Tribolium castaneum: one gene and its partners. The protein of the gene in region 5 purifies or fractionates together with the protein of the main gene of each other region. This does not show direct contact. Links are inferred from orthologs where the notes say so. Each region holds a gene or a part of one and is shown on either strand. Other genes may lie near its edges. The genes, in order: sorting nexin-8, rictor, Dpm1, uncharacterized protein LOC103313224, ago, aurA and Roc1a.

Region 1 (4,231 bases), on a different chromosome or scaffold from region 5:
CGCTATTAAATAAAAAGTGCATTTAGACTTACACAACCTACCTACTTGATGCACATTAAAATATAAAAAAGAGTGTATCTTCTGTCTCTACAATATTTAATGTTTTATAAATTTAAAGCTACTAAAAAAATACTAAAAAAAAAATTAATCGTAAAGTTCAGTCATTTTTTTTAATGTAGCCCTGGGAAGTCCCGTCCCACAGAGTTCCATTTTTGAACCTTTGCTATTTAATATATTGATTACTTATACCACGTGATTGAACAATTTAAATGAGTTTTTCATAATTATTTGAAAAACTGTAAGAAATGTATTGTTTTGATTGCCATTAAATAAATAAAGACAGTCCGTTTGAAACAACTAAATAATGATAGTTTTTTTATCATCGTCTTATTAAGACATTAGAACATTATTAAAAGCTCATTACATAAAACAAGTACTATGTAATTGATAAATACAGGGTGACCCAGAGGTGCGGAATCGGTTTATAACTTTTTTTGGGAATTGAAATATTGCTATGTTGTTTTTATTATCCGATAGATCGATTTAAAGTCCACAAACCAAAGTTACATTTTTTGAAAAAGAAGACCCTACATATTTATGCATTTTTAGATTCTACGCAAAAAATATGACTATATAAACTATTCTAGGTCTATCATTTTTCGTTTTAGAATTCTTCAACTTTTCGTTATAAAAAGACCAATTTTTGAAAAATCACTGCGAAGTCGCCTATGAATATTTCCAAAAAATTTGCAACAGAAAAACTGAGAATACCCTATAGTTTTAGCAATAGTCGACTTTTACTTGAAACACGCAAATAATTACATGATGAGTTAAAACACAAAAAAGTTGAATAACTCATTTTTTTTTCAAATTGGTCACCATGTATTTATTTACACGTATCGATAGTATTTCTCATAAACTTTCTAATAATATGCAAGTTGTATTCGGAAATAAAATTAACTAGACGCCCTCTGGTGATGACATTTGACTATGTCAAAAGCAGTAACGAAATTTTCGTAATTCCACATTTAAATGACATTTAATAAAATTCTTAACAATTTTAAAAAAAATTTTTTTTAGAAAAATAAATAATAATAACGTAATACTGAGAGTTGAACAGCAAGTTCTTCTGGTGCTATTTTTAAAATATTATTACATTGTTCATTTTCAAGGTAAAACTATAATATTTTACTGCTTAATAACAACTATTATGATTAATTCTGTAACTTTTTTCAAGTGTTGATATTTATTTTATTTTTATCACTGAATTTATTGCGATGTAGATTTTTTTAGTCATACCTACATAATTTAATTTAATAGCATTTTGAACTCTATTAATTAAAATTCCCCACGTTATTAATTGTCAAAATCAATCAAATATTTCGAAATTTTTATGTTCTATTAACAATGTTATCAAAATTTTATTCTTACCTGTATGGAAACCGACTAAGGAGCAGTTCTTGCAAGGCCAAAAAATCATTATACCTCCTCGTGACTTTGGAATTAAATCGTCTCGAAGCCACCAAATATTCCGAATATTTCAGAAACAGCCCCTTCTTCTCAGGTACCAATTCAACACTAATCGTATCCAACTGAGTGATTTCAGTATAAGTGAGCCCCAAAACGGCAGGATTGGCTTTTAAATTGAGCTTCAAAACTAGATTTTTAACAGGGGTTAGGTCACCAATACTCGGAGTCGGATATTCTGTTGAAAACTGCGCTAAAATCGAATTGATTTTTAAACTCGCATACCTTTTCCCGAAGCAGTTTCGAAGAGTTTTTCGGATAGTGTTTTGCCCTGTTGTGCCCAAGCCACTAGCGCTAGCGTTTTGTAAAGGTTGGTTCGCGTGATAAGGCCTTGCGAAGGCCCCGCAAGGTCCCAGATAACTTTCAACTGAGTGGTGTTTAGGTTACATTGGGATAAAAGGCACTGGTACACGTCCCTGTGGACTGGCTCCCCATTGTGGGAACACACATCGAACACTTCGCGATACAAAGGGGGCACAGTCCCGGCACTCAAATCTGTCGTCATGTTAGCTGGACGAGGGCTTTTGCGACGTCCAAATCGGAGCGAGTGTCGATTTCGAGACTATATTTTTGGGGGATTTCCACAATTTTGCATCTACAATCACTTGCGTGCGTCATTTGTGGGTGGACACGACACCGGATAGAAATAATTTATTAATTGGCCCCACGGGAATGACACTTAATAAACATAACCTCAATGCCTCGTTGGCATTACTTTTTTGACAGTTTTTTGAGAGGTTAGGTTAGGTTTAATAAATAAACAAGGAAATGGAAATATTCGCAGTGAAATTCTGCGCGACTTACACAACACTACTGAAAGGAGTTTAATTGAACACACGCTGGGATTAGAAATATTCGCACTTTCACTTTGCCGCAAAAAGGTCAAGAGGCATTGTTTATTTGTTTCGTTTCATTTTTCTGTATTGTTGATGGAATCGTGGCTGTTTTAACACTAATTAATGGTTTCAAAGTGCTCGGTACCCCCTGGTACCAACTTATGCAAATATCCGGACTTATCCGGTTCGTGAGTAAATAAACAGCGGTGATAAATTATTAATCTTAACTACCGGACGGTGTTTTCATGAAAATAAAACGAACTGGTAGAGATTCATTGGTTAAGTTGGTGGTACTGTACCTGTGACTTTGTAAAAGTCCCCGATTGATTAGTTTTCTTTCGGCGAAATAAAACATCCCATTTTCGAGCAATTCGCCGGGCCAGTCTTGTCTTCGTGGTCGATTGTGAATGGCGAAGTTGAGGGGGAGTACACTTCCGTCCTGTCTTTGTATCCACCTTAATTTATGTGATCTATTTCGAAAAAAGTTAGCCAAAATCATTACAACCCTAGTTTTTCATTAAAGTTAAGGTGGTACTACGGATATCTAAAACTATTAGGATGTGAAACGAAATATGCAGGCTGTCCCAACGATCCGAAAAAACTCCATAATTTGCTTATTATTTAAAATATTGTCTTTTCCTTTTTTTTATAGCTGCATATCTGCTACATATTCCTAAAATATTGCCTGTATTTTGTATAGTATAGTATGTTCCAAAACTAAAAATGCATTAAAGTTGTTTTTTTTAAACGGAATACCCCAAATTTTATTGCATTTTTGGACGTAGCTTTTAATGCTGATGATTTTAATGTTAACTTGTATTAGTCGATTCTGCTCAGTTTTTTAAATATTTTGATTTGTTTGACAAAAACACGTTTTATTAAAAAATTTATTACACAAAAACGGAGAATCGTAGAAAGGTAGGACTTTCACCACTTTAAAGGGAAACGTTCATACTTAAATCTGTTCCAGCTGTTTGCCGTATAACAATTAGAAACATAAAAAAATTAAGAAGTTTGTTAAAAGCCAAATAACTTGAAAAACTTAAATGGAACGCCCTATTTTTTGTTCTTGCTTCTCAAAGACCATTATTGTCTATCTAAAAACATAAAGTTTCAAATGGTTAAAGTTAATAACTAAAAAGATATTTCACTTTAAAAGTTAATTTTAACAACAATGAACACTATTCCTGAGCATTGTTGTTACCATAGTAAACCATGTCATCACCATAGCAACTCCACCATTTATTAAATTTTAGTTATTTCACTGTAATAAATGACGAATAATAGTCTAAGGGTAACACTAAAGTTATTAGTAGCAGAAGATTTCACTTTTTGACTACTGAAACAATAGTTAATGATTTTTTTAATGTTTATTGTTAAATATATTTTGAGTAATTAGTAAAAGACACTTAACTGTTAATGTTTTCAGAGAGACAGTTTAAATGTCTTTTAAAGAATCTTCTTAATTGCGTAAGCTAATAAAAATAATACTTCCTTGAAATTTGAACTTTCTTCTTAAAGTGGTGAAAGTTCAACTTTTCTGAGATTCCTAGTTTTTATATAATGATTTTTTTAAAAAAGTGTGTTTTTGTCAAAAAAATCAAGTTATTTAAAAAAACAAAGCAAAATCGACCAATAACAATTTAGCTTAAAAATATCTACATCAAACAATGCACAAAATATAGGTTGTACGGTTGTACCATTAAAAAAACATAAGTTTGTGTTGTAGCTACTTTTAGAAACACCCTGTATACTTGAAAACAATTTTAAGTGAGACAGGGGGTTAGTATGCACGGCTTTCGTAAAAAAAGATTAATTTTCTAACATTTAAAGGTCAATAATGGACCTTTTCACATCTGTGAATAACC
Region 2 (3,001 bases), on a different chromosome or scaffold from region 5:
GACGCGGTTCGGCGACCGGTTGTTCTATCTGGATTGGTGGACGTGCACGGACTATTCCGGGTATTTCCGGAAGTGGAACATAATCGTCCAGGACTGGCTGTACCTTTACGTTTATCGCGAATCTTCCGAAACTGTTTACAAGGGGAATTTATGGTTTGCCAAATTCGCCGTGTTCTTGATTTCGGCGATTGTGCACGAGTGGATCCTGACGTTCATGTTTGGCTTCTTTTTCCCCTTGTTGTTTGTCGAGTTTTTGGTTTTCGGGTCGATTTTTAACTTTCTAGGGGCCCCGAAAACGCCGCTTTTTAACATTCTGTTCTGGTATTCGCTCTGCTTGGGGGTGGCCACCCTGGTTACCATGTACGGTATCGAGTTTTACGCACGAATTAATGCTCCTTTGGAAAATCCGACTTTTTTCGAAAACTTGCTACCAAGGTTTTTGACGTGTGATTGCTTGGAATTGTAGGAAGAGTGGGTTCTTCGTAATTATAGCTTGTCAGTTGTGTATATTTTTTATTTATATTTTTTGTATGTAAAAAAAGTAACGATAATTGTGTCACATGCGAATAAACGAATTTTTCTCACACGTAATTTCACTGTTTTGATCACAAAAAGTCAAATAAATTAGTTATATACACACAGGTTGTTCTCCCGAGTGGAATGAACCGTTCCTTATATACAACAAAAAAAAACAAAGCGACAGACTACACGTAACGCAAAAAAACTTAAACCTAGAAACAGAACACCCTGTATCAATTCGAAAAATAGAGGAACCAAAAGTTACACGATTTTCGATTCGTTTCGATTGCGAATCGGAAATTTATTCTCTTTATATGCGAGTTTTAGCGAATCTAATTTTTTTATATTCGACTGCGCCCCCTCACTATCGATCGAATCCCCCGATGACTTACCAGAATCGACATTATTCTGAGCGGCACTTTTCAAAAACCTGGCGCATTGTAGGTAGAGATCGTCGAATTTCACTTCGAGGAAGAGTTCGTGGAGCATCCGACGAGGTGACGAACGATACGCACATTCCGAAATCATTTTGCACACTTCTGAGTAAATACAAGCGTCTTGGAAGACGTGAGGACTGCCTTGCTTGTACTGCAAGAGCGACTGTTTCACCTGTTTGGCCCAAACGGGGTTCGAAAATAGGTCAATCAGGTGCAGAACCTGGCCCTTGAGAACGTCTACAAGCAAATTATTACACACAATCGGGGGAAATTCGCTACAAACTCACTGTCAGGGCTGTTTGGGTCGTATTTACAGTCCAAAGGGTCTGAAAAAAAAAACAATCCGCGATTAAAGGCTATTTTTCAAGGCTAAAGCCAGTAAATATAAACGTAGCGATACGGGCTACTTCAAAAAATTTAAATTTCCATTATTTGTTAATTTTGGCGAAATTGCGGGCCAAAATCGGGAAGATTTTATGTGAAAAATTCCGAGGAAACGATTGGTGCTAAGAAAACTGGAAAATTCTGGGTAGTTTCGATAAGTTACAATCTTTTTTATGTAAGATACACAATAAAAGTACTTACAATTAAGTTATCAAGCGACACTCGTTTGAAATTGTATTTACTTATGTAAAATCGTCGGGAAAATTAAAAAAACCTAAAGTTCCCCAGTTGTGGGTTTTTTAGTGTAAATTAAAATGCGCTGTCCGCAAACCTTGAGTTTTCCACTCGATGAACAATTAAAAGAAGATTCCCATAATACACAGTAATAGTATTATATTTATATTGAATAAAAAAATAATTACTTAATAATTATATCAATTAACTAATAACACAGATGACAATAACATCTGTCGAGTGCTTAATTGTTATTATGCCAAACACGACCCGTGTCTCTAATTTCTTATATTCACTCTATTCACTCTAAGCTTTATTGAACGTTTAAATGATACAGGCTGATTCTTTTAGGTTCTAATTAGAAAGTTTTTAAAACTATTTTTATTGAATTTTTAAATTCGTCTTTTGAAAGTAACTAAAAGGTACTTACCTGTCATAGTTTTTGACATGTAATTTTTTTGGAATTTTTTTTTATTTACAGGAGTTTATTTAAAAAATTATAGCTCTTAAACCCTTTACAAGAAGTGAATAATTCTTTATGCATTTGATAACCAAAAGTTCAAAGGGTATTCTAAAATCTTCAAGACTGTCAACAGTCAAATTGCAAGGCTACTATGATTTTTTTAAATGATAATCAAAACGCAAAAAACGGAATTTTAGCTCAATATTTTCATTTTTAACTAAATAAACTTTCGAAAAATTCGATAAGGTGTGCAATTAATTAAAAGAAATGTTCGATATGTCCACCATTTTTATTTAAGAAGTTAAAAATTCGAAGGCAGACTGACTAAGTTACATACTTTACATAATTCACTAACTTATAATAAACCATAATTACATATTATTGTTTTACTACTTATTCGATAATCATACAGCTAAAAACGAAATAAAATGTTGAAATTTGACAATTGTTGACCATTTTGCAAAGTCTACTTGATTCACGATGAAAATTACAAAATAAAATCCTTTTTTGTGATTTTTCAAAAACCGTAAGAGATAGGTATAAGACGTGTTAATAAGTCACCATAAATGTCGATGTTCTTTCGATTACCTTTGAGAAAATAAGGTGATTCCATAAAAAAAACTGAGTTAGAGCCGTTTACGATAATAATTTTCAAGAAATCATACTAGCCTTGAATTTTGACAGTCAACAAATTTGAAAATTTCAGAAAGCTTTTCAAACCTTCGGTTACAGAATGTAAAAAAATTATTCACTTATCGCAAATGGTTCAAGAGCAGTGATATTATAAATAAAACTGATATAATGTTAAAAACTATGACAGATAAGTACCAACAACTTGGGTAAATTTTACTCAGTTTGAAAACAGAATTCAGAAATGTGTTTTATTTTAAATTAATTTAAATCCAACTACGTCCTGAATTGTTTCACCAAATTCGACACGAAATATGACAAGACGATAATCAAA
Region 3 (2,785 bases), on a different chromosome or scaffold from region 5:
TCAATTCGTTGTTTGGTGTCCGCCTCAATTTTGGCAGCAACCCCTTCTTTAGAGCCCATGTGTTTCGCCTCAAAATCGCGGAATTGGCGTTCGCGTTCCTTGCGGTATTTTTCAATCTCATCTTGGGCCTCCTCTTTGGCCTGTTTGAGCCTTCGGGCCTTACCTGTAAAACAATTGAGAACTCGTGACTGTCAAACATGAACGCCCACTGCGATTCATGTTTGGGCTTTTTTCGCAAAAAACACTCACGTTTGCGGGCTTCTGACACTTTTTCAGCCGCTCTCTTCTCCGCAGCTAAGAGTTGCTGGATTCCTTGGGTTTGACTTGCCATTCTCACTCAAAATTCACCACGAAATCGGAGTACGAGTACACCTGAATTGAGGCAAATGTCATATGATCGCTAGTTGGGGAAGTCGACACGGATTGATAGGGTGGCGCTAGTGGCAATTGTGTCACGGTCACATGTTTTTCAATTCAATATTAATAAAAAACAATTTAAATATTTCATAGAAGCACTTTTATTAAAAAATAACATACATAAATGTTTCATTTATTATTTCAAATAATTATTGGAATGCAGAATATAAAATTATGTGGTGGCAAACAAATAGAGCAAAGCTTTAGCAAATTGAAATATCTCTGAGCCCCCAAGCTTAGACTCCCCATAAACCCTATCAACGAAAGTAATAGGGACTTCCCCGACGGTATAATTAAATTGGCGCGCCCTCACAATCATTTCCATCTGGAAAACGTAACCTTTTGAAACACAACTTTTGATTAACTTCTCTAAAACATCTTTTTTGTACAATCTGAAAGAACCAGTCAAGTCTGAGGCCCCAGGTCTTAGTAAAAGTTGTGTTAGAAAATTGGCTCCTCTTGAAATCAATTTTCTTCTAAAATCCCAACCATAAACACCACCAGAGCCCACATAACGCGTCCCCGAGACTACATCATAATCCTTTGATTTTTGTTTTTCAATAAATTGTGGGATAAACTTAGGCTAAAATTTTTCTATTAGGTAATATTTACGAAAAATATGCATGTTACATGATGGCTCAAATCCGCATCCATAATAAGAATAAAATTGCCACTGGCGTGTTTCATTCCGTGGATGTAAGCAGTCCCCAGTCCCAGCTTTTTCTCTCTTGGTTTTAGCAAGATTTTATTTTCGCCGTAAATTTTTTGGAGCTGTTTGGCGGCATCTTGCGTCCCGTCGGGGCTTCCATCGTCGATTATGATTACTTCGTAATTATATCCACTAAAACGTGGCTTTAAAAATGGGAAGAGAAGCAATAAAAGCCCCACCTCTTTTCCATGTATTTTACAATCAGCCATACGATAATCGGCAAGTTTTCCACTTCGTTGTATGTTGGTAGTAAAATCGAGTACTTGTCTTCACTACTTTTACTTTCTTTGCCCATTTTGCCGGAATTTTCAAATTTGTTCTCGTCACGTTTGAGGTTAGGAATTAGAACAGCGAAAAGCAGGATAGCCAACAAACCGAAAAAATAGTTGCGCATTTATTGACACGTAATCGAGTTAGCTAAGCAATTTACAATCACTAATTGCGCACAATGAACTGATCAAGTATCAAAATAATCGATAATAAATCCAAACATTTGGTTTTTGCGAATTTTATGATTAATAATTTTTTGATACGTTGGTATTTGTTTGTCAATGTCACCTGTGACAACGACAGGTGTCAAATTTGACGTTTTGAAATAAACAATACTCCAGGCAGCCCCAAAATGGGTAAAACATCAAAAGTAGTGATATGCGGCATGAAAGGGGTCGGTAAAACCGCAGTTTTGGAGCAAGTCATTTACGGTAATATAACCTCGAAGAGTGTATGTATCACAGTCCTAATGCTGAAGATTTACTAAATGAGGGGTTTCTAGGAGTTACATTCTACTATTGAAGACATTTACGTCGCTAATATTGAGTCGGATAAAGGCACAAGAGAAAAAGTTCGTTTTTATGACACTGCGGGCCTTGAACCGCTCCAAACGGCCACAGCTAGTGGAACCACCAACCAGCAGCTCCCCAGACACTATTTGGCGATTGCTGACGGTTATATTTTAGTTTATGATACCGAGAAATCAGAATCACTTGATATGTTAGTGTCACTCAAGAAGGACATTGATAAGAATAAAGATAAAAAAGAGGTGTGTCCAACTAAAAAAATGACTCTTATTTATTTATTGATATTATAGGTTACTATAATTGTGATAGGAAATAAATTTAAAGAGACTGAAAATACGGAATTTGACTCTACGTTGAGTAAAGCCACGGCCTGGTGCAATAGAGAGAAATTGAGGCATTTTACGGCATCTGCAATGCACAGAATTACGTTATATGAGCCTTTTGTTCATATCACGAGTAAATTGAATCCTCCACCTAGTAAAAGTACGTTTACGCCTTTATCTATGGGTAGAAAGGTCAAGGATCAAAGTTAATTTTTTCAAATACTCAAGACTAAATCCTGAAGCATTTATTTATTTTATTTATTGATTTATGTAAATCATGAATCTGTTTATAATAAAGATTTTTTAAAAAACATGTGTGATAATTTTCCGGTTTCTTCTGAAATGACTAAGCATAATTTTAAGTTAAATAACAAAGTAAAGAACTTGTAAATTGAAAGTATTTATTTAGAATACCTTTGATAAAACTTGTATAAAAAATTAATCTCTTATAAAATACTTTGATACAAAACTAAGCCTAAAAAGTAGTTACATTTATCAATTGCAATAAATGTTTGAAGTGAGATTTGTGAATAAATCTA
Region 4 (4,290 bases), on a different chromosome or scaffold from region 5:
GTAAATGATTATTAAATTAATATGTACGGGACTAGTCAATGAAACTCCTTTAACCAAAAATGATTCCTTACGTCATTTTTACGATAGCTAACAGACAGGTAGCGGAATCTTGAAATAAACTATAAAATAAATAATGAATACTAATGTTAAAAGGTCACAGACGCGTAAGTAAATGTCAACTACTTTACACATTCGACGTTCTTTCTTATGTAAGATGAAGACTCAAGATATACTAAACTACTAAAGCATTACATCATAATTGTTCGACAATATATTACTGATTGATATATGAGTCGTACAGAATGAGTTAAACAACACCTTGGTCGCAAAAATGTTAATTAGCACCTGCAACAAAATGCCGCTTCTTCGACTACTATCTTGATTAATATTTCATCTATAGAACTTAACACAAACAGCTATAAATTATTCACATAAATGGCTGTTTTAACCGAATTAATTAATTAATTTTTAGTGAAATTAATATAATTTTCTAATTAGAAGTATTAAAAGTTCCACAATGTGCATTGCATTATCCAAAACACCTGTAGATTAGTTTTTAATTATTATCGGTAAACAAAATTGGTAATTAGTAGAACACGTGAAAAAATACTGTGTGATGTGGTAAAGATGTGGTTCAAGGCAAATAAATATTTTGATTGCTTCATCAAATACCTAATCATTGATCAAGTATTGTACAACTAACGCATCTGTGGAATAACAGCGCAGCGTTATTAAGATTTCTTTTATAATTTATTGTTTTATAATTGTAGAGTTATAAAATTGCACTTTAAAACTCTTCGATGCCACCATTTTTAAAAAGAGCTTTCTCAAGGTTTTAAACAGTAAACAACTTATTTCTTTAGTGATTTTGGATCTCATAGCTTTTTTAATTGGTAACATGGTAAAATACCAAATAAAATAAATAATAAATTGAGAAAACGAATACCTAACATTTTTATTACTAACTTATGCCTTGACCATGACAGTGACATTACGTATGCTGAACTCTCCGGATGGTTGTTTTATGCATTATTGAATTGATGTAATTTTATTTAAATCTGAAAAAATATGCTAAAGTTTAAGCTAATCTTGTTAAATTGTTAGCGGAAATGTCATGGTTTTCACTACCTTAGAATTTGTTTGACACCGTATTTGAATAAGGTTACCGTTTGTGCAAAATTTAAAATAATTTGTACACCAAACAAAAAACGATGTACACATCGTTCGATTGAAGGATATCAACGTGAAAGTATTTACTTTTGTTAAAATTAAATGATTGTATTTTCCAACATGTTAGCTGTCAATGAAACTAAATTGGGTTTTACAAAAGAGCTAATATGCATAATATATTAGACAAAAACAAAAGGTCAGAATGTACCATCCAAATATTTTAATAATCCAGGAGATATTTTTATAAAGCAATAATTTATTTCCTTGACATGTCAAGGATTCCCCTCATATCAACGAAAACGCTTTCGAATGGAATTCAACTTAAATGTACAGATGGTACACTTGTTAAAAAAATTTGCATTTTCAAATGTCTACTACTCCATCTATTTTATTTCGATAACTCCAAAATTTAAGGCAAATTATGTGTTACGCCAACTTAATAGCATCTATTAAAAGAAAAGAATCTCGCGAATTTAATGTAAAGACCATATAATTCTTAATTTTTTCGTTGAGGTTGATTCCGGTTTTTAAAAAATCCCGTCGATAAATGTCAAAGTGTAAACCCTGAAGAATCTTCAAAGTACAATTAAAAAATTCCAAACTAACAAGACACTTAAGTATACGTTATGTCTATTTTAATCGAAGTTGTAAATTATACTCCTTTCTTATGCATTCTTGTTTTTAAAAAAAGAACTTTCATTCAATTATTTACTGACGATCGGGTACTTTGCCGATTTACATTCAGCACTTCATTATAAAAACAGCATATTTATGCTAATTTACAAACTTGCAGCATACATTATATTATATTAATTCAATAATTTCTACAATACGTCTAATTAAAATTTTGATTGATCAGACAATGAGTTACTAGTGTCGCTTTGTGTTATACCCATTCAATATTTGTAATAATTGCACTGGAGATAACCTTTGGAGCTTAAATGTTAAAGCAGTTAATATCAATAGGTTATTTTTAAATAATTAATATAACTGACAATTTCAGCAATATATGGCTACAGTTACATAACGTTTTCAAGCTAAGCAAGCACGTTTACAGCAGGGGAAGTGCAAATAACTTATTCTTTTCAGGATGATTAAAATAGTCGCACAATTTAAATATAAATCCTACAATTTTGTTCTCAAGACAAAAAACAGTTTTCCAGTGTCAAACAATTTTTTCCTAAATTTCCATTCGCGATGACATTAATAGGCAATAAAAATTGTCAGTCTTTGGGGACAAAACATTAATCAATCATACAGTAGCAAATAACTAAATGATTACAAGATAATTTGACACCGATGTGATTTCAGTAAATTTGAAGTAAGAGAGAAAGTTTTGTTGTAACAACAATTACGTACATGCGATTAGATAAATTAGAAAAAGACATTTAATTAATTAAGCACACATTGGATTCGCAAGTTAAATTTTTTCGAAAATTAAAAATTGGGCTAATTAAATTTTAACCATACCATGCTGCGATCATGTCTTGCTACATGGAAGGATACTGCACTAAACACTAGACATTAATAATTGTATTTTGTAAAAGGAGGGTTTTTATATTATCTATATGAAGGTAATCAAGTTGCAAAACTATCCTCCTACGTGAAGACACATCTTCAGCGAAATATTGCCACCACTTTCATGTTATCGAACTCACGGAGCTCATCTCATTCATCGGCTCGTGTGATGTGAGGAGACTGCTCCACAGCTACGACAGTGGCGTGAAAATTGACTCCAACTCTTCAAATCATCAAAAAAAAATACTTTAAAGCTTAAATACCTAATAATTTAAAAAAATGTAAATTTATTAGAAATTTACCAAAAAAAAACAAAAAATATAAAGTGTTGCGTTAAAAAAAACTCTCGTCGATTGGCACCCTGTATCAGAATTGCTAATAGAATAGACATTGAAAACTTGCAAAGCTCACTTTCCCCTATTATTGAACTTTGATGATTCAAACTAACTGTTTGTTTGCAATTACTAACAAAAGTATAAATATGAATATCTTTGAGCATGATTAAGGTTAACCTTTTCGTTATTTAGGATGTTTCTATTAAAATTATATTAGAAAAGCAAACTTTTGTAATGAACAGAGACCGAGAGACCAGAAAGGTCATTGTGCAGTCTTTTTTTTCTTACGAAAAACAATGCCCACAATTTTAAGAACGGTTTTAGAAAGGTTCAAAACAAGTGCAAAAAAATTCCTAAGTTTTTTAAAGAAAAAAATAACCAAAAATTAAAAGAATAAATGTCTTATAATTATTTAACAAATGAAATAATACAGATTGAGCCAAAAGTAGCGCACAAAATTAAAATTTGAATCTATTTTTTTTTCAAAAAAAATCTTCGAAGAAATCAAAAGAAAACAAACAGCTTAAAGTTAAGTCATGAATGCTAATTTGTATAATATTTGTAATTGCAAAAACCAAACTCGATTTTTAATTTCTTGGTTTGCAACCAACAATATATATAATTTTAAAAATTAGAATAAGTTATATAACTTGTTTTTTGCCTTGTGAGAAGTTTTGGTTGCATACTTTCAGTTTTAACCAATTTAATTTCAACTCAATTTACAAATCAAACGAAATTTTTGCATTTTTTTTAATTAAAAAAATACCCAAATGAAATTGGCAATTGTAAGCAATAATTTAAACTTAACGCTCATTTTTTCATTCTCAAACAGAACGGTAAAATCATTTACCTACATACACAAAGTGTCCCAAGTATGACCTAAGCTCAAATTTAACTGTGCTAAAAAACGTAAAGTGATTGCAAAAATAAAATTATTCGAATTTTAAAATATTTATCAACAATTTACAAACGAACAGAAATATTCCGAACTTGAACTCCCTAAGGCGTTTTACATAAACAGCGAGACTACACCTTTAAAATCGCGAAAAATGTTGGTTTTTACAAATAAGAAATAAGCACACAAAATAAGGGTTTTTTTAATTTTTTTTTTTGACAGTCTTGGAAAATAATTGGTTCTAACTGTTGGTTCTGGACAAAGATCCAAAAATTTTTTTGATTGAACTTTATTATTTTTTATTTTTTCAAACGCTGCTTAATACTGAATAATTGTTTTATTATTATTTGACTTTGTACCAATCTAGCGAAG
Region 5 (4,144 bases):
AGCAACTTCTTGCACGGAAACCCATTCTGCACGTCCAACTTCCGTTTTCTCTAAAAAAACCGAACAAAACACATTACAACTGCTAACAAAACAGCACAAAATATTCGTTTCAAAAAATATCAGAGAGAAGATTAGGCTAAAATCATATGTCGATCAACGTATTATGTTATCGACTCAACACTTACAAGTTTCATCATTAAAAAAAAAGAAGTACGACTGTTTTATTTTTGTTAAGCTCTTTACATTTGCGATTAATACATAAACACCATTAAGGTGAAAATAATGTAACATCTTAAACCGGAAAAACTAGCGTTAAAAAGCAAAATTAACCTGATAAGTTTTTTATGACATGCAGTTAATTATTACTACACTGTATTCTAATGCATGTGATTATGTGGAAATTGCTTTATTATCATAGATATTTGAGTAACATTGTTTACTAAACACAGAATTAGAGGTTGTCAAAGGTAACAAACATTTTTTCAACAATTTAAAAAAAAATCTACAGGCATAATAAATAACTATGAAAATTGTTAGTTTGTATTATACAACGATAATTTCAAAAAGGATCAAAATTATTACCTTTTATGTCTATCTTTAATTTACGTTATCGCCCAACTCGTGTTTACCAATACAAAAACAACAAGTAAACTAAATAGTTAAAAACAGCAAAGTCCCAAACAGGTTAAAGACCTTCATTGACCATGGGAATGTTTAAAAAACGAGCAATAACTTTAATGCACTACTACGTAAACGTGACTTATTCGCGTATTACTTATCGATTTTTCCCCAATGCCCCTTAATTATTCGTTTTGTTATTTTATCTAAAAGTTATATAAAGATTAAATACATAATTAAAACTGTGACGATTGTTTTTAAACTCGTATTATACATAGATAAGGTAAGCGTTCATTAAAACCAAATTCCTTTAAATTACATTTTCGACCAAATAGTCAAGACCAACTCGTATTTTTTAATTATTTTCTTTTTAAATTGTCAAAACAACAACCAAAAATGGTCACAACTTTACTTATGAGAGTAATATTATTTATTATTAGTCACATTTTGTTAAAAAAAATTAAACAAAAACTAGTATTGAGAAATTATTTAATACAACAGGTATTGCAAAGATTAAGTACCACCTGAGCAGTGGCGTAATAAAATGTGTCACTGATTTGTTTACAAAAAATTGCAGATAATTACACTAGTTTACCACGATTTTTACCAATGTCAGTAGAATAATTACCACTAAATCTGATGCTGAAGTCGAAAACAAATTAAGTTTAAATACTCATTATAAAGTATCAGTATTTGACAATTTTCGCAACATCTAAAATGTTACAGATTGCTTCTTCTCTTGTACTATCAGGGTGTTTATCTCAATGTGGACTAGTAGAAAACGAATAACATATTTTTATCCCAAAAACCTTAATAACTCTCTTCATAAGATTTGATGAAAATATTTACCATTTGATCGTTTAAGTCTCCCAGATTTTATAGACAATTTTACCACAAACAAAACAAAAGTTGTTTGGACTTAATCTACATTCACTTGAAGATATTTTAAAATAATTACAAGGTTTAACAATAGTTGATCACAGAAACAATGAATGCCACCAGAAACAAATTTTTAAAACTTTTAGTGAATATATTAAGAAAACTACACGTGTTAGACAAATGTGACATATATTTTAGTTATCAGTGAATAAGAAAAAAGCAAAATTAATATAAATTATCTCTGCCTGTAATTTTTTGTTTGCCTTGTGCTAACCATTTGCAGAAAATGCATTATCCAGTGATGGAAACAGTCAATGGGTTTATTTTTAAAATAATATTATTGCACATTCGCTTGAAACAACAAACATAATTTCTGCTTACCCAGTATCTGTCAGTGGCGTACGACCCACTTCTCTTCGCGTACGAACTCCTTGGTGTTGTTTGATGAGGACCTGGAGGTGAACCTGAAAAAACTTCACTGCTATCTTCGTCCTGTAAAAATAATTTAGTAAAAAGTTAACACACTGTATGGAGTTACCTCTTCTAGCTCTTGATTTTCTTCAGAGAGGTCTCCTTCAGTACAATCCTCCCAGTTTTCTTCCTTCTCAAAACTGTCTTCTTCATCACATTCTTCCAGACCTAGCTTATTGAGAAAGCTAGTTTTTTCAGTCTCCTCGCCCGATTGACTAATTCTAAATATCTCATCTAGTTTTTCACTCAATGGAGCTAAGTGATTCTGGGATGTACCTGGTGCATTATCAGTGGTACACAACGACTCTAGACAAACGGTTTCAGTAGGGCTAGGGCTGGTGCAGTCTTGTTTTGGAAGTTCTGAATCTCGATTAATACTAGATAAGGGGTTGAAATTACTTCTGCCTGAAGGACATGATTCTGCCATTATCTACAGTCTAGAAAAAACAAAAAACGTCTTAAGTAAAGTTTTGCGATAAAATTATCTCCGCGAGTGAAACACGTTATCCTACTTAATTACAAGATGAGTGCAATGGGGGAAAAATGGTTAGAATAATTGCATCTGACATACCTACTGATGTAATTTTCTATCATTATTCGAAGGCATGAAACGAAACTACTCTAACTACCAGATAATTGCAAGAGAAGAAGGAAAATTAACGAAATGCTTCCAAAAACTATGCATCAAGGACCACTGTTTGCTACTTCCTATCACTCCGAGACACTAAAGCGAGTTTTCTTGTGCATCTCGCTGGGTAAAATACCTTTTCAAAAAACTACACTGACGGCCATTCTCAAAATACTAGGATTTATTGGCACCATTACAAATATCTGGACGAACTTGTGTAAATGAAGAATAAGAAATATCAGCAAAATCGCGTGGCTAAGGCGCCGCCCCGTTTCACAAACACCCTGACTCCACAAACCATTCGCCCAAAAAAACATCCAGGACCCCAAACTTTTGGAAAACACTCACCAATTGCAGGAAAATCCGTTTTGTGTTTTTCCCCAACACCATTGCATTGTATTTCGAGAATTTACGCTACGATTTCGTGACTTTAGTTACAGGAGTAGCAAGGTGACAAGCTGGGGGAATTTAACGGCGCACATGTGATTTTAGTGGCTTTTTTGCACCAAAACTTAACCTCGAACTCTTTTTTGAATTTGTGTTAAAATGATTGAAAACGAATTAAATACGGTGGTTTATCCACCGAATAAATCGCTGCAACGGAAAGTCGAACTTTCGACAACACCGGTCGTTTACAAACACTTACTTTTCCTAGAATTTAATGAAAAAGGTAAGGTGGGTTTTTTTCAATTTTGGCGATTAATTGTCTTTTAGACGAGTCAGTTCTGGGGTGTTCGAACTTAAACGGGACTCTTTGGGAAGGCACTTTGCTATTTTTCTCAAATGAGGAGAATTTGTTGCTTCTGAAACACAACAGAAGCTTGATTGGGTCCACGGTTTCAGACGGGAAATTTTTAAACGACAGTACTGTAAGTTTCAGCTAAATGTGTACACACAACAAATAATATGAAAATAGTTTGCGTTAGCTGAAGATACGGGTCTTTTAAATATTCTCACAATATCACGTGAAAACCAAACCATACAATCGGCAGGTTATTATAGGGAAATAGATCGCATTCCGAAAATCGCAGTTTGGAAGAACAGCACACGGATACTCACCTGCTCGAATAAAGCGGTGACCATTTGGGACATTAATAGCACTATCCGTAAACCACTAAATCACTTTCCGTAAGTTTTATCAACAATTTTCCCTTATCTAAGTTTTATTTCCAGCGATTATCACACGGAACTTGTAAACTATGTTGATACACTTAAGTCGGAACCAAACGTCTTTGTCACAGCTTCAATGGACCGGAAGTGCTGTATTTGGGACGACCGTAATCCGTGCCCTGCCTCAGGTAATTATTTTTTCGTCCAGTGAGGCGAAAAAATCATGTATATTTCACGGGAGCAAAGTGAAGATGTAAACATTATTTTCAAGTATACAAGTGTCCAAAGTTAGCTACAATAGGAAATTGTTTTTTTTTGTAATGGATGTAGCTTTTAATACTGATGTTTTTGAGCTAAATTTTTATCGAAAAATATTTATTTTTCAGTTTTGTACAACAACGAGTTTTGCTCTCTAACCAGCGTTGCATGCAACCAACA
Region 6 (4,110 bases), about 34 Mb from region 5:
GCGGATGTAGCGGGCGCATGTCTCCTCCGGGAAGCGCCTGTTGGGGGCTGCTTGCAGCGCCTTGTAGCATGTGCCTAAACAGGGGGGTTATCAAGGTGGAAAGTGGGGGCACAGTGGTCCAAAGTGGGGAAAACACCCCCGAAATGTTCTTTTAATTTAATTAATTGATTTCTAAAACAACGATGCAAAAAATTCCTAAAAAAACTGTATTGGAACAAAAATACCGCGATGTTTTTCTTCAAAAAAATTGGAAGACAACGTAATTTTTTTAGCGATATTTTGTTCAAACTGGCTAGAAAATCACCCACAGGTATTTATGTTGAAAACTACATTATTCTTGAGTTCTTTTGAATGTTTAAGCATGTTCTATGCGCTCAAACTTACAAAAAACAAAAAAGATGGTAATTTTTTAATCACGTTTCTATGGTAAAAATTTACCTTTTTGTCTAAAATTCTGTATGTTTAAAATCACGTAATTTTTTTATTTTTTTTAACGATTAATTTTTTATTTTTTTGTTGTGAATTCGCTTTAACTGGCGGACAATTAAAAAAATGAACATTATTTAATTTTAATTAGTTTTTTATCAACAAATTTAAAATTCTTCGTTTTTAGGAAAACATGAAGCACGTCTTCGACCAGAAAAAATTAGGTCAAAAAAATGTTCTTTTTCACTTTTTTTTAACTAAAAACTCGAAATTTTAATTTTAATTGAAAAAAAATATTTGTGTTAAAAGGTCCCTTTTTTCGTTAGATTTTGATAAATGCCAAAAAACAGACTATTTAAATTCTAAATAGCGCAGCCACCTTGATTTTTTTCAAACCCAAAATAATAGTAAGAATAATAACAATATATAGCTAACAAAAATAGATTTAGTAATAAAAAAGTGAAAAATGAATCTGCTTTTATACACAATATTACACATTTAAATACAACAAATAAATAATATGTCAAAAAACTCATAAATATAAATTTTTCATTCAACTTTGTAGTCTAAACCATTTTTTTTGTTTTTTTTATAAAATCACAAAAACGTCGAGCTTAGGTGTTTCTGTTGTCATTCCATAGATTTTTTATCAATGAAAATATTGATTCGAATGAATGGAGAAAACTAGTTTTTTAATTCATTTTTTAAAGAAAACTTCAGTGCTATTCAAAATAAAATTTATTTATCAAATATTTTACAAAAACAAACCTTTATTAAAAAAATTGTTAGTACAAAAAAAATTCGAGGACGATTTTTTAAAAATTCTGTTTTCAACTTTGTTGAATTTCATTCGTCAAACTTTTCGCCAAGACGTCTCAAAATGTTCATTAGTTTGAAAAATTAAAACTATTATATAATATTAACACTGAAAAAACTTGAGAATTATCAACCTTAGCATAAAAATAGCAGAAAAAACGCTTTTTGGCATAAAAGCATAGTTTTTTAGCCAAACTGACAAATAAAAGTTAAGAAAATTGGTTCATTTGAAAAAGAAAAGCTTAATTAGCAAAATGCTAGGAATCCGAACTTTAGTAATAACTTTCAATATAATAATTTCTCGTATATATGACATGACTTTTTTTACCGATTTACAAAGTTTTATCAAAATAAATTTCGTAAAAAAAAGTATAAAAATTAAATCTACTTTCATATAATATAATATTACAAAACAATGCGAAATAGTTTTACTGACATAACAAATAAACAGTGAAAATACATTTTCATTTAATTTGGTAACAAAAACCAACATTTTTTTGCCTTCAAATTCAGTGCACCATAAATTAAAAATTTTAGTTTAAAGTCTTCTTAACACTGATAATTCAAAGCTTACTCTCGTCATTCCAGATTTTTCAACATTGAAAATATTTTTTTTTGGGAATGGAAAAAACAAATTTTATTGTTTTAAATTGTTTTTATTTAGTTTATAATAGTCAGCCACTTTTCCGTATCCAATGTATTGACCTCAAGACGTTTTTTTAAAATAGTAGTTAATGGTTTTATTTTAGTTAAGACAGCTTTTAGTAGTAACTTTGTTCCCCATTTAACTTAATGTAATAACTAACCCACAAATTTTATAAATCTTTCTCAACCATTTACTGAAATCATTCAAAAATGCTTAGTTTGCAACTTTCAGAAGGCTCTTCTTTTAGAAGATTTTTCCGAATAACTCTTGTTTTTCATTCATTGTTTATTGAGCCCCAATTTAAATGTGTTTTTTTGTTAATAAAACACATGAAATTTAATGATTTCACCAATTTCTGGCGGGTTTTGAGCAGTTTGGACCACTGTACGTGGGGGCTTACCATTGGGGGCGTATTCCAGTATTATGTAGACCCTCGACTCGTCGTGAAAATAGCCATACATTCGCAGAATATTGTTGTGTCTCAAGTGCGACTGAATCTCGATTTCCCTCCGCACTTGGTGCTCGTTATTGAAGTCTTTGATCGCACTTTTGAACAGCACTTTAAGCGCAACGACAAATTTCGACTGTTTTTCGCGAGCTAAGTACACGTTTCCGAATTTACCACGCCCGAGGGGCTTCCCGATATCGAAGTCCGCCAAGGTCCAACGCCGCCCCTTCGAACTCTCCTGAGCCGTGTCACTTGCAGCCCCCTTCTGGGCCTTGTTCTCGGAGAGAGCCCCCTTTTGCGCCGGGGGGCCCTTTTTCGCCGCGGCGCGCGGAACGTTGTTCTCCTTGTTTTGGCACACGGGGGCCTTCCTTTGGGACATATTTACAACAAAAACACTTCACTCCGACTTAACACTTTTGCACAATTTCAACTTGTGATAAGTTCGAATTTGAATTGTCACTTCGTAAGTCAACGGTTTTTCAACTGCCAACACTCCAACACGAAAAACCCAAAACAAATTTGTGTGAAGACAGCTCCCCAAACCAGCTCCTCGAAATTCCGAAGAAACCCGAACATGAAGCCAGTTTCACACTAGCAAAATACGTTTCAATTTGCGTAGATGTATGTTTGGTTGTCAGCTTTGAAACCGTTTAATAAAATAAAAATCCGAAAAAACACTAAACACCCTCTTAAAAATGACATTTTAAGAAAGTCACTTTGCTAATAGCGAAAAACTCAATTATTTACCACAAATTGCTTCTTAATTTTTCCCACTTTTTCACCTAATTTCAATATTTATAGCTCCGCAAATGCACTATCGCCCCATTTCACCCCGAAATCGGTTTTGTCACACAATGCCCTTTTGACCACCAATTCAACAATAAAAAAGACATTTTTCAAAAATAAAATTATGGCCTTTTAGTTGTCGGAACAATGTTAAAAAATATATCCGAAATTGAATTAAAATCGGAAATAAATCAGGCTGAATTACCGGGCCTGCTAACAGATTATCATTTATACTCAATTTATTAGAGCTTTACATGAACAGTCAGACTACAATCAACTTGGTACTATCACTGTTTTCATTAATTATAATTACACAACTGTGTGATAAGTGAAAAGAATTTTCGGTAGAATCGTTTACTACGAGTTCCAATTTTAAATAATTTTTCATGAACGAAATGTACGTACCCCTCATTTAGTTTATGATCCCTAGCTCTCCTTTTCTCCACCGACAACAAACGGTTTAAAGCTATTTTGCGCATCAGGCGGCGTTTGCTTAAAAGGACCGTAAACCATAAACCATAAACCGCCCATGTGTTTTGTTAAAATGTTTTTCACAAGAATTCTGTGAAGGGTGTCCAGTAAATTATCATTTATTGCATCTTTATTTTCTATTTCCCAAAATCGGACAATATTATTACCAAAACAGGCGAGTTATGATAACAGGCGTGCATAAATTGGGCACTATTGAATCCCCAAATACCGGGCACCCTCTCTTTACGTGTTCGAGTCCTAGAAATTCGGCACCGCATCTTATCAGGTCAAAACGGATTATTACCTGATCACCCCTTTTCGGACATCACAGAAAAAATAGGCGAAAAAGACAACTTTACCAAAAAAATTTATTAAAGGTGTGAACATCTAAAAACAAGTTATTTTGTTTTCTTGTAATACAAATTTACGTAGTTTGTGCCATTCTGATACAATATACCTAGATGGCATTGCCACATCAGCGACCCCACTTGGTGCCTATTTCCAAGTCCCTGTACCA
Region 7 (4,296 bases), on a different chromosome or scaffold from region 5:
ATTGAATAATAATTTATTGAAATACAAAATGTAACAAAAAATTTCAAGACCTGGATTATACAAAAACTAAATTTCCGTTATAACATGTTGAGTTTACGAAAAAAAATGGTGAGAATCAAATACCGAAAACCGTATTATGCTACTGATAACATAACGATCAATGCCCATACCTGCAAAAAATACATCATCAGTACTTTCTTAGAATAAAAAATAAAATAAAAAAAATCAAAGTAATTTACACCACCATCACATGTTTCAGTTTATTTTCACTTTCTACAGTTTCTTAAAAATTGTTTTCTTCGATTTTTTTCGTAAACTACTGTTTGAGTTTTTCTGAAATTTATCGGATGATGTATTTCTGTAGAGAACAAGTCAATATACCGGTAACTAAAAAACTTTTACAAAAGCGTTTCTCATTATTCGTTGTTATTTGGCAAATGCAGTATATGTATTAGCTATTTTGAAAGTATAAAAACGCCAAAATCGCATTTTTTCTCAAAATTAGTTGTTATAAATTATTCATGCACTTTAAAAAATAGTACCTAATGTAATTTATACTTTCAATGAGAGATCTAATCATTAGTAACTATTTTAAAAATTCTATGTATTTTGTTTAAAAAAATAATTCAGTAACAGGCGACGTTGGCGTTTTTATAGTTTTGAAACAGTTTATTTATTCAAACGAAATAATTAATTAATATTACAACAATTGAACAATTGTTAGAAAACAAATACATATTAATTCAGTTTTTAGTAAAATTACTTTGATTTTTATTTAAGTTATTTAAGTTGTTTAAATACGTTCTTAGGACAAATACTAACGTTGACGATTATACTGTTTTTTAAGTTAAAGTACCTACCACTTAAAATTATTTTCAAGTATACAGGCTGTTTCTAAAATTAGATACAATACAAACTTGTTTTTTTAAATGGAACAACCTATATTTTTTGCATTTTTGGATGTAGCTTTTAACACAGATGTTTTCAAGCTTTTCAAATTGTTATAGGTCGATTTTGCTTTGTTTTTACAATAACTGGATTTTTTTGCCAAAACACGCTTTTTTAAAAAAATCGTTACATAAAAACTTAGAATCTCAGAAAAGAGGAACTTTCACCACTTTAAAGAAAGAAAGTTCAAACTCCAAGGATGTATTATTTTTATTAGCTTACTGCAATCAAGAAGATAAAAAATGAAGAGGTTTGTTGCAAGTTGAATAACTTAAAAATTTTAAATGGAACACCCAATTTTTATTTTTGCATCTAAAAGACCTTTAAATAGTCTCTCTGACAAGATTAACAGTTGGGTCTTTCGCTAATTAGTGATTACTCAAAAGATTTTTAACATTAAACAATAAAAAAATTATTACCTATTGTTTCAGTAGTCAAAAAGTGAAATTTTCTGCTAATAATAACTTTAATGTTACTTTTAGGCCATTATTTGTCATTTATAACAGTGAAATAATTAAAATTTCAATACTTATAGAATTTTTAGTCCCGTATAATCTCCAACAAGTGGTCTGTGGTGGAGTTGCTATGGTTGTGATATGTTGTTGAAATTAACGTTTAAAGTGAAATATCTTTTTAGTTAGTAACTTTAGGAAGTTGAAACTTTATGTTTTTAGTAATTTAGTAATTTTTGAGAAGCAATAACAAAAAATAGAGTGTTCCATTTAAGTTTTTCAAGTTTTAATAAACTTTAATTTTTCTGTTTCTAATTGTAATACGCTAAACAATTGGAACAGATTTATAAGTTTGAACTTTTCCCCGTGTGGGATTCTACGATTCTGCCTTTTTGTGTAATAATTTTTTGTGTTTTTGTCAAAAAAATCAAAATATTTTAAAAACTAAGCAAAAATGCAATAAAATTTAGGGTGTTTCATTTGAAAAAACATAGCTTTAGTGTTTTTTTATATTGGAACATCCTCTATATGCATACCCGTATCTAAAAAAAAGGAAAACTCAATATCTTTAATAATAAACAAATTATGGAGCTTTTTGGGATCGTTGGGACAGCCTGTGTTTAAGTATTATTATGAAATTACTATAACAAAAACTGTGAAATGTGACATTCAAATTTCCCGCCATGTCACACAACAAAGTAGATCGTTAATTGACCACTAGATGGTATAACAATAAAAAATTTAAACCCTCTGTATTGTAAAAGTTGTAAAAACAAAGGGACTATTAACCCGTTAGAAAAACATTTAAAATAAAAAAACTTACTTTTGAAATTCCCATTCTCGATTATCTAGTGGGCACACCTGCCTTGTCTTCAACCACCTCGAAATACAGTGAAAATGAAACGCGTGCTAAAACCAGATTCACTAAAACCAAAACTCAAAAAACAGCAAATTACTCACATTACACACTCCCCAAGCAACTGTACACTCTTCACTGGTCGCTGAGGCCTGATTTGCCTGACACTCAATACATAAATCCATAATATGATTGCGACAAATGGCACAATTATCGACCACGATATCTAAAATTTTAATTAAAACCAACGTGTCTAATAAAATGACACAGCGTACCCCAAGCCCACAACGCTACGGCGTTCCACTTCATAAAAATGAAAAATCATCAAGTGTTAGGTTATGTCTCACAAACTTACCTTTTTCACTTCGAAACGCTTCTTTTCACCCTTGGAACTGCTCGAAGTGGGAACTTCGACCTCGTCAACATCCACGTCCATTGCCGCTGCCATTTTTGCCCAAATAACACAAAATTGTGAGTTTTTACAAACGTTAATTGCCAAACTGTTTGGGGTGAAATTTCGACTGGGGAATTTTACGCGTGTGTTGGGTGCCCTTCAACCACCACAGAATGACCAATTTTGCGAAAATCAATGTTATTAACTTAACTAATGGATGGCTAACGCATTAAAATTGTAAACAAGTGTTGTATTAATTGATAATTATTTTATTAATGGCCATTTTCGTCTGACGGTTGCCGTTGGCACTCCTGGCGAAGCTTCCACTTGTGATGGCGTTTGTCGTTTAAAACCGTAAACAAAAATGCCGCATTTAATTATACCCGTAATTAATTGTCTGTGATAAACGGTGTGTTTTCAACCAAATAGCACCATTTTCCCGTGCAAGTGACAATGGAAAGTGAAAAATCCACCGAAAGCGAGTTAACCTCAACAATGGGCAACCTGCTGTCATCGAATACCGACGAAAAAAGTGAGTCTTGTGATTCAACCCCAACGTCTTCCACCGATGCATTTACAACCACTTCAACGTCACACATTGGTAAGTGTTTTTTCCAGTTTTCCTTGCGCTTACTTCAATTGTGTTCAGCTGCTGACGATCCAATCAGTAGCACATCCTCGGATGCTTTGGATTCGGGGAAACACCCGAGTAGTGCGAACCCAGTTATTAATTTAGTGAGGGAGATGTCAGGGGGTGGTAACCCATCGCCGATTGCGTCCGATAAGGACCTGCTCGATATGAATATTACGGATACTTCTACGGAGAAAATTACAGAAAATGTTGATGACATTGTTCAGGATTTGGAGAATTTGTTAGGGGAGCCGACGACTTCGTTTGATTTTACGATTCGAAAGGATCTGAGAGGGGCTAATAAAGACATTGCGATGGAGCTTGATGAGTTTTCAGCTGAACTTCAAATGTTGCAAGGTAAGAAATCAAATATTTATTTAATTTATATTAATTTTAAATGATTAGTTAATAAGTCAGCCAGTGTCAAAAAACGGGCGTTAGGGGAGCCACTAGTCTGGGCTTCAATGGAACATGTATGTTTTGGTTTCAAAATGTACTAAATTTCGTTTCCAAAAAATACAGCCGAAATCAAATATTTTATTAATTAATTGAGTTAATAGTTAATAAGTCAGCTATGGGCATTGGGGTGCTTCACAGTCATGTCTTAAAAATTTTGAACAGTATCAAATGTTAGCGTAATTATTAGCTGTTTCGAAATTATAAAAATGCCAACGTCGGATTTTCTCTAGAAGTAATTGTTATAAATTATTTATGCTTTTCAAAGAATTAATAGCTTATATATTTTCTAGTTTTATTGGAAGATCTTGTCATTAATAACTATTTTTATCAATCTTATTTAAAAAAAATATTCGGTTAAATGCGATGTTAACAGTGTCTTAATTTTGATATTGTTAAAGTCTTTGATAATTAAGGTTATTGATAATTGAATAATTAATAATTGAAATTTTTAAGAAACGGTTCTGCAAAAATTTAAAAATCTATGATAGATATCAATTTGTATTTTTTTTTCTGTTCGCATTTCCAATTTTACAATGTGGCTCCAATTATAGGTTGG

Evidence for each region.
Region 1: the proteins of ago (region 5) and sorting nexin-8 purify together in Homo sapiens (affinity purification with mass spectrometry; 3 studies listed by BioGRID and IntAct, counting the BioPlex papers as one, with this or other methods). This does not show direct contact. The link is inferred for Tribolium castaneum from reciprocal best matches to the Homo sapiens genes FBXW7 and SNX8.
Region 2: the proteins of ago (region 5) and rictor purify together in Homo sapiens (affinity purification with western blotting; 3 studies listed by BioGRID, with this or other methods). This does not show direct contact. The link is inferred for Tribolium castaneum from reciprocal best matches to the Homo sapiens genes FBXW7 and RICTOR.
Region 3: the proteins of ago (region 5) and Dpm1 purify together in Homo sapiens (affinity purification with mass spectrometry, with the first as the bait; 3 studies listed by BioGRID). This does not show direct contact. The link is inferred for Tribolium castaneum from reciprocal best matches to the Homo sapiens genes FBXW7 and DPM1.
Region 4: the proteins of ago (region 5) and uncharacterized protein LOC103313224 purify together in Homo sapiens (affinity purification with mass spectrometry; 3 studies listed by BioGRID and IntAct, counting the BioPlex papers as one, with this or other methods). This does not show direct contact. The link is inferred for Tribolium castaneum from reciprocal best matches to the Homo sapiens genes FBXW7 and PRR36.
Region 6: the proteins of ago (region 5) and aurA purify together in Homo sapiens (affinity purification with western blotting; 5 studies listed by BioGRID). This does not show direct contact. The link is inferred for Tribolium castaneum from reciprocal best matches to the Homo sapiens genes FBXW7 and AURKA.
Region 7: the proteins of ago (region 5) and Roc1a purify together in Homo sapiens (affinity purification with western blotting; 8 studies listed by BioGRID and IntAct, with this or other methods). This does not show direct contact. The link is inferred for Tribolium castaneum from reciprocal best matches to the Homo sapiens genes FBXW7 and RBX1.

What each region holds. Positions count from the first base shown.
Region 1 is NC_087399.1:11,361,818-11,366,048, reverse strand, and holds the start of sorting nexin-8, read right to left. Parts: upstream 2,801-4,231; 5' UTR 2,663-2,800; intron 2,633-2,662; exon of another isoform or gene 2,123-2,632; 5' UTR 2,033-2,122; coding exon 1,753-2,032; intron 1,706-1,752; coding exon 1,432-1,705; intron 1-1,431. UniProt on the Homo sapiens protein: May be involved in several stages of intracellular trafficking. May play a role in intracellular protein transport from early endosomes to the trans-Golgi network.
Region 2 is NC_087395.1:23,067,881-23,070,881, reverse strand, and holds the end of rictor (rapamycin-insensitive companion of mTOR), read right to left. Parts: intron 1,283-3,001; coding exon 1,244-1,282; intron 1,194-1,243; coding exon 781-1,193; 3' UTR 501-780; downstream 1-500. Other genes in the region: sterol O-acyltransferase 1, read left to right, coding at 1-466. UniProt on the Homo sapiens protein: Component of the mechanistic target of rapamycin complex 2 (mTORC2), which transduces signals from growth factors to pathways involved in proliferation, cytoskeletal organization, lipogenesis and anabolic output.
Region 3 is NC_087396.1:17,388,867-17,391,651, reverse strand, and holds Dpm1 (dolichol-phosphate mannosyltransferase subunit 1), read right to left. Parts: upstream 1,521-2,785; coding exon 1,306-1,520; intron 1,259-1,305; coding exon 1,048-1,258; intron 1,001-1,047; coding exon 590-1,000; 3' UTR 501-589; downstream 1-500. Other genes in the region: V-type proton ATPase subunit G, read right to left, coding at 1-163, 250-331; kappaB-Ras (NF-kappa-B inhibitor-interacting Ras-like protein 2), read left to right, coding at 1,749-1,847, 1,899-2,165, 2,214-2,456; phosphoenolpyruvate carboxykinase [GTP], read right to left, coding at 2,783-2,785. UniProt on the Homo sapiens protein: Transfers mannose from GDP-mannose to dolichol monophosphate to form dolichol phosphate mannose (Dol-P-Man) which is the mannosyl donor in pathways leading to N-glycosylation, glycosyl phosphatidylinositol membrane anchoring, and O-mannosylation of proteins; catalytic subunit of the dolichol-phosphate mannose (DPM) synthase complex.
Region 4 is NC_087398.1:3,178,456-3,182,745, forward strand, and holds the start of uncharacterized protein LOC103313224, read right to left. Parts: upstream 2,801-4,290; 5' UTR 2,644-2,800; coding exon 2,641-2,643; intron 1-2,640.
Region 5 is NC_087394.1:36,180,099-36,184,242, forward strand, and holds the start of ago (archipelago), read right to left. Parts: upstream 2,801-4,144; 5' UTR 2,540-2,800; intron 2,406-2,539; 5' UTR 2,396-2,405; coding exon 2,036-2,395; intron 1,990-2,035; coding exon 1,879-1,989; intron 51-1,878; coding exon 1-50. Other genes in the region: uncharacterized protein LOC655874, read left to right, coding at 3,143-3,266, 3,311-3,465, 3,513-3,724, 3,770-3,894, 4,093-4,144. UniProt on the Homo sapiens protein: Substrate recognition component of a SCF (SKP1-CUL1-F-box protein) E3 ubiquitin-protein ligase complex which mediates the ubiquitination and subsequent proteasomal degradation of target proteins.
Region 6 is NC_087394.1:2,112,468-2,116,577, reverse strand, and holds the start of aurA (aurora kinase A), read right to left. Parts: upstream 2,801-4,110; 5' UTR 2,716-2,800; coding exon 2,289-2,715; intron 75-2,288; coding exon 1-74. UniProt on the Homo sapiens protein: Mitotic serine/threonine kinase that contributes to the regulation of cell cycle progression.
Region 7 is NC_087402.1:12,066,286-12,070,581, forward strand, and holds the start of Roc1a (RING-box protein 1A), read right to left. Parts: upstream 2,801-4,296; 5' UTR 2,705-2,800; coding exon 2,612-2,704; intron 2,560-2,611; coding exon 2,532-2,559; intron 2,483-2,531; coding exon 2,361-2,482; intron 2,310-2,360; coding exon 2,224-2,309; intron 171-2,223; coding exon 158-170; 3' UTR 1-157. Other genes in the region: e(y)3 (titin), read left to right, coding at 3,104-3,251, 3,300-3,638. UniProt on the Homo sapiens protein: E3 ubiquitin ligase component of multiple cullin-RING-based E3 ubiquitin-protein ligase (CRLs) complexes which mediate the ubiquitination and subsequent proteasomal degradation of target proteins, including proteins involved in cell cycle progression, signal transduction, transcription and transcription-coupled nucleotide excision repair.